Kluyveromyces lactis: one gene and its partner. The protein of the gene in region 1 purifies or fractionates together with the protein of each later gene. This does not show direct contact. Links are inferred from orthologs where the notes say so. Each region holds a gene or a part of one and is shown on either strand. Other genes may lie near its edges.

Evidence for each region.
Region 2: the proteins of CPR7 (region 1) and CNS1 purify together in Saccharomyces cerevisiae (affinity purification with western blotting; 3 studies listed by BioGRID, with this or other methods). This does not show direct contact. The link is inferred for Kluyveromyces lactis from reciprocal best matches to the Saccharomyces cerevisiae genes CPR7 and CNS1.

Annotation. Positions count from the first base shown.
Region 1 is NC_006041.1:2,026,564-2,029,839, forward strand, and holds CPR7 (peptidylprolyl isomerase CPR7), read right to left. Parts: upstream 1,836-3,276; coding exon 666-1,835; downstream 1-665. Other genes in the region: RAV1 (Rav1p), read left to right, coding at 1-637; KLLA0_E22727g (uncharacterized protein), read left to right, coding at 2,228-3,276. UniProt on the Saccharomyces cerevisiae protein: PPIases accelerate the folding of proteins. It catalyzes the cis-trans isomerization of proline imidic peptide bonds in oligopeptides. Plays a major role in negative regulation of the heat shock transcription factor (HSF).
Region 2 is NC_006038.1:872,111-875,482, forward strand, and holds CNS1 (HSP70/90 family co-chaperone CNS1), read right to left. Parts: upstream 1,763-3,372; coding exon 650-1,762; downstream 1-649. Other genes in the region: SLI15 (Sli15p), read left to right, coding at 1-592; KLLA0_B09988g (glycosyltransferase family 15 protein), read right to left, coding at 2,228-3,372. UniProt on the Saccharomyces cerevisiae protein: Co-chaperone that binds to the molecular chaperones Hsp90 (HSC82 and HSP82) and Hsp70 (SSA1). Stimulates SSA1 ATPase activity, but not Hsp90 ATPase activity. Involved in only a subset of Hsp90 functions.

The DNA of each region.
Region 1 (3,276 bases):
CGATTATTACAACGCAGCATTAGAGGTAAATGAAAGCTTAGAGTATGAAATTATTATGCGCGTTGCTACTATATACACCCGCATGGGATGTGATTACATAGCTGTTTCTCTTTTGAAGGATTGGAAGTTTTTGGAAAGTAAGAAGATTGAATCCGAACAGGTTGAAATCCCTCAAAGTTCCCACTCGAAGTTGACAGATAACAAGATTGAAGAGCCGGTCACAACACAAAAGGTACGCCCAAGTCTCTTTGATAAGTTTGACTCTCAATTCTCGGAAAATACGCGATCTGTATCCTCGTCCACGAGTGAGTCAAAAAGTATTCTCAACCCTACTTCTAGGGATATAAACTCTTCAAATGGACACTCAGGTAAAAGTGCAGGCTCTAGTTTCAACATTCTGGATTCTTACAGAAGTGACACTCAAAAAGTGACCCCATCTCAAGTGCCGAATATGCTGGACAGTTTCAAGGAAAATCAAAAAGATACGATACAAAAGAAACTTCCCACACAACAAAAGTCCCCATTGGATGATTATCAGGCAAGTACTAATAAACCATTCGTTCCGCAGCAACACTTACAAAATTCAAAGCCCAAAAAGACAGCGAAGCCTAGAAGTTTATTAGATGATTTTATATAAAGGTAAAAGGAATGAATAGCATCCCTAATCAGTTAAAGAATTTACCTATGCTTTTTTTCCTTCTTTCGAGATCGCTCGCGATTTTCTTCTCTGTAATATCTATTTTCTGCTCGACGTTCTTATCCTCGGGAACTGTCTTTGCGCTGTTCTTATAGTCAGTGAGAGCGGCTTCAAATCTATTCAAAGCATAAAGACAATTGCCCCTTCTTAAGTATGCCTTTGCCTTGTCTTTGTTTCCTACACGGTCATCATCCACTAAAAAGGTAGAGTATTTGATTGATTCATGATACTCTTTCAAATAAAATAGCATCAGACAGATGTTCAAATATAGTTTATGTTTCTGGATAGTGAACTTCTCATTATGAAACTTGTCTATATCCACTTCAGGAGTATATGCAGTAGTATATTTCAAGGCCTTCTTGTATTTGAAAAGAGCGTTCCTAAAGTCTCGTTTCTTGAATAGCAGAGAACCAGATTCTTTAATGGTCTCTGCTGCTTCATATGCTTTGGCAAAATCTTCGCCTTCGAAGTGGGTGTCATCATCTGGATTTTCTTCATAAAAATCATTACCAATTGTATCGTTGCATGCATTATAAAGAGGTATTTCCATATTATCAGACCATTCACCGCAATCTTCTATGATTATTGAATCATTTGGTACTCCATTTTCATCGACATCCATATGCTCAATTGTGCGAACAACAGATTTACCTGCTATCACTTTTCCAAACTGAGAATGTTTACCGTTTAGATGGGGAGATGGATAAGTAGTAATGAAGAACTGAGAACTGTTGGTATTCTGTGAACCAGTGTTGGCCATAGCCAATATGAAGCTTTCGGTAAATTCACCCAAATTTTCATCTGGAAAGTTCCCAAAACATTGAATTTCATTTCTAGATGAATTTTCCAACTCAGATTCAGTCGCATAAATTGAGCAACCGCCTTTTCCAACTTCTTCTTTGTTAATCTTGTCGTCAGAACCGAACATCAAATCTCCAGCTTGAATCATAAAATTCTTAATGATTCTATGGAAGTGATTTCTTTTATAGCTTAACACTTTACCATTAAGATTGACATCTCCTCTGCATAGATGTATAAAGTTAGCACATGTTTTAGGGGCTTGTTCGTCGAACAGTTCGCATACGATTCGGCCTATTGGCTCATCGCCGATCTTAATATCAAGATATACTTTGTGCATTTCAACAATGAATTCAATCTTACAGGAGGAGCAGTTATCCTTTTTGACCTATTACCTTATCTTTTTCTATTGTTACTTTGACCACAGCTATAAAGCGCAACTTAGCTTTGGAACAAGGAGGCTTTAACTGATGGGATGAGGTATTCGTTCTCATCTCATCACTGTTCTTAAACTAGCTGTTCATTCGTAATGTCAAATTCGTAGATCATTTTGTCCGGGTAAGAAACTTTTATCAAAGTTCAGGCGATCTGGTATTGGGACCTCGAAATCAAACAAAACTTTGGGAACAGTGTGATAGGTAAGTAAGAGGGAGAAGGAGAAGGAGAAGAAAGGAAGGACTTTTGATCGCGATTAGGGTTCTACGGTTGACTAAGCTTGAACCACTTCAAAAAATGTATCGACAAGAAATGACTCGTGATAATGTGGCTGTTGATCCGGTCACAATTGTCATCAAGGAATGTATTTCTTTGTCGACTTCTATGAGGAAGTACGCGAAATATTCGGTGCAATCTGGTGTTGCAGCCTTGTTAGGGGGGGGAAGTGATATATTCATAAATCAGGACGCTTCATTGGCAGGTACTTTCAATAATTTAGCAGCTAGTAAGACTAAGGATCCACTACTGTCGGGGTTAATTCAGTTGAGATTGATGTTAAATCATAAAGATAATTTAGAAGATGTTGATGCGCTAACTGTCTTGCAACCTTTCTTATTGGTGATAAGCACAGCTTCAACGTCAGGATATATTACATCATTGGCCTTAGACTCATTACAAAAGTTTTTCGCCTTTGGTATTATTAACGAATCTTCGAAAAACCATGTCGCAGCTTATAGACAAACGATCAACTCTTTAACCCACTGTAAATTTGAAGGTACTGAACATTTATCCGATGATTCTGTCCTTTTAAAGGTATTGGTTCTTATTGAATCAATTATTGCTTCTCCTTCAGGTGAGATTCTTTCCGACTCATGTGTGTACGATGTGTTACAAACTGTCATGTCCTTGGCTTGTAACAAAAGAAGAACTGATGTGTTGAGAAAGGCAGCAGAAATGAGCATGCTATCGATTACCGTCAAGATATTTGACAAGTTGAAAAAGTTAGACTCAAGCAAACAACACATCTTCATTAACGATCAGGACTTCTCGAAGAACGTTTTGAAAGATGACAACATAGGTGCCGAAGGAAGCAGTGACATTGATTCCGTTGAAAATGGCAATTTTACAGCATCAAGTGAAAGTCAAAATTTAGAATCGGACTACGGACTTGCAGTTATAAAAGATTATATGGACATTTTAGTGTCTCTTTTGTTGCCTGAGAACCAACACAAACAAAACAATTCCACTAAGGTGTTTGGTCTGCATTTACTAAATACAGCCATTGAATTAGCTGGCGACAAATTCCCACAACATCCGCAGTTGTTTTCCTTGGTTGCCGATCCTAT
Region 2 (3,372 bases), on another chromosome or scaffold:
GTCTATCTCTCCTACATCATCTGATCAAAGAACCAATTCGCACGATAGATTGACCAGATTCCAGCTAATTACTGGCAGTTCAAGCAACAAACAAGAGAAAGACACGCTAAAGCAAAAATTGAATAAGCGGTTGAGTGAAGTGATGCGTAACCAGCAAGAGCAACAAATGCGGAAAAAGTATGAACTCCAACAGAGGAGGATTTCTCAGGCAGATGAGGATACTAAAAGAAGAACAAAGATTCTTTTAGATCGTAACAACGCAACATTACCGCCACTCTCTAAATCTGCCAGTACAAATTCCATGTTACATGATATCAATACAGTTGATTATAGGGAATATATCGGCGCACCACCAAAAACGGAAAGAACTTCCAACGATGTTACTTTACCTGAAATCATTTCTGATGATGAAGGTAATAACCAAGTAGAGCGGACACTGACTTCGTGGGCTGAGCCAGAAAAACTAAAGCAACAATTGTTGTTGCAACAAAATTGGGATATAGAGCAAATATTAGGCCCCATTCCACCGCTACATATCGATGAGATCTTTCAAACTAGCACTTCAAGACTACAAAAACTTAAGAAAAGGTAAATTACCTTAATTCATAGTGACGTGTCTATATAATGCAATATCTAGTGTCTGTAATATCTACAATCGTTTCATTATTGCTGCATTCTTATCCCAGTTATCTAGCCATCCTTGTGCCTCCGTTTTTGGTACAAAGTATACTCTTAGAGACTTATCGAAAAGAGGAGCCTTAGGCTTCTCCATCTTCAAAACATCATGGAAGGTAACTTTTTTACCAATCTTGATCAAGCCTCCAGACAGAGTTTCCATGTATGCATGAAGTTTAGATGCAGTAAAATCTTTGTGCCCTGGTTGTGCAAACCATTCTGCCGGTCTGTTAAGTACAACATCAAGAAGGTCATTTGGTGTGGATAGTTCAGAAACAGACGCGATAAAGTCAAACTCGTCCGTAGTCGGATAAAGAACCATAGCTGGAAATATTAATTGTGATTCGAAATCTGTTGGGTTTTCCAATGTGAGTTTAGTATCTTTCAAAAGACCTGCTGGTTGTTTGGTATCAACTAGCGTTATGTTTCTTATTTGTACTGCCAGATCCAAAAACTCTTGGAGTTCCTTTTCCTTCTGTTTTTGAGCTAAAGTACGATTCTCCAGCTCCTTTTTACGTTTAAGCTTTTCAGTAGCTTTGGACTGGATGGATTTTAATGCCCCATTTTCAGGATCCACGGCAAGCCCAACTTGAACGGCCTCGAGAGAATCTTCGAACCTTCCCAATTCGAGATAAGCCTTACCTATTCTGAAAAATGCCTTAACGTTTTTTGCATTTAGTTTGAGTGCCTCCCTACAGTAATTGATACAACTTCTATAGTTTTTAATTTCAAGCTCGCAAGCAGCCAAATTCAAATACAAAGATTCATTGATAGATAGTACATCACATTTAACATCCAAAGCTTTCAAATACATAGCCCTTGCATCCTTAAACCTCTTACCCTTGTAAAGATCGTTCCCTTGATTCTTGAAATTAGTTGCAATTTCATGGGGCTCACCTTCATAGGCCATGGCTTTTAAGGCTTCCAACTCTACATTGCTTTCATCTGGGTCAAGTTTGTTCATAAAAAATGGCATCTTATTTAACTCCTCCAATACCTCATCAGTGGTTTTATTTTGGAACTCAGATAGTTGTGGTGGTAAAAGTGGGTCATTTGGACCTGGAACATACCTCTTTGGTTTTTCCATTGTGAGCAGGCCTTAGTAGATATCCTCCTTTTAAACCCTTCAGATAATACAGATAATGTTAAATTTCTGACGATGTGAATCAGGCAGGAATTTGACTATACCAAGTGCGTTATCAGAAGCTGTGGAGACAGAGTAACTGGCTTTTTTGAACAGTCACTTTCCGCTCGATGAGATGAGATGAGATTTTTTTCCTAGAACTTGTAAAATTCTGTGTCAAAGCTCTCTTGGCGAGTCGAGAAAAAGATCAACAAACCACGTGATTTAGTGAATGGTGGTGTCCATTACAACACCCGGTAATATTACCAGATTATATACTGGCAAGTAATCAAATAAATAAGAGTGAGTACTAAAGTTTAAAAAACTGTATGCGCCCCAAATTGTATTGTTCTATCAGTATCGTGGGGAATGGGGGGAAGGGGAGAATTAATATGATAAGTGTGGATGGTGGCCAGGTGAGATTCCATATCAATAGCCTCGGCCACTATAATCTTTCCAATTAAAGGGTTTTTCAATGCCTTGGGCCTCGTAATATTGAATACCACAAGCGTAATCCCTGAATGTGAAATCGGTTTTTGGGTCACAGTAACATTTACCCTTGGCTCTAATTCCGCTGTCGAACGGACAATTGTTGTATGGAGGGTGATGATATCCAATATCTTGGAAAAAGTGCAATTTGTTGCGAGGCAAGAAAAGCGATGCAGCAATTGAATGTACGGGAGCATCACCCCAGCGTTCGTAGAAGAATCCACCTGAGCGATCAAGATAATCGAAATAGTCCGTGTATGCTTTTGATCTGTAGAAATTTAGGTTGGCGACTTCGAAATTCGACCAGAAATGACACAAGTTATAACTATCACCACCATCATCGGATATGAACTTCAACAAATTGTCGTTATGGATGTATTCTGAATGTTTTTCTGCGAACCCACGAGTAGTGTTCCATAAAGTTGGGATTGTGATGACAAATTCATGGATAGAAATGACGAATCCGAGACCTAAGTCTTTATCCTGCATCTGTTGGAAGATATCATAATCGATGGAGCATAGCAATTCGGTACTTGGTTCGACACGCCAGTACCAATCGAACTCGGCTAATAATGGATGTTGGAAAAAGAACCCCGATTGAAAGCGACACATGTGACGATAACTCTCGGAAGCACCGTAGATTATATCCTGCATGTCAATTCTAGTTTGAGCTGCACGTTCTTTAGAAACATAATCTGGGTATGACCAGTGTTCCTTCGGTATAACACCGAATTGAGAGTTTGGAACAATGGCAGAGATACGTTCTTTGAACTCTTCGGTAAATGGTTCATCGTTTAGGAAGATCCATGGATAATTAAACTTATTGTTGAAACGATCTTCGACAGATGAAATCGATTTAGCCAAATCCCATAGTTCTTCATTCCGGACCAATGATACGAAACATGCCTTGGGTTTATCCTTGGTCCCATGAACCACGGAGTCATACACAGCCCCAGATCCAGCAGCGTCGAAAGGGTAGCGTTTTTCCCACTTTTGATCTAGGACTCTATTAAGACTAACTGGTGGAAGCTGGGAATCACTTGATTTCATATATTCCAATCTATTATCCTTTGATTCCATGCTAT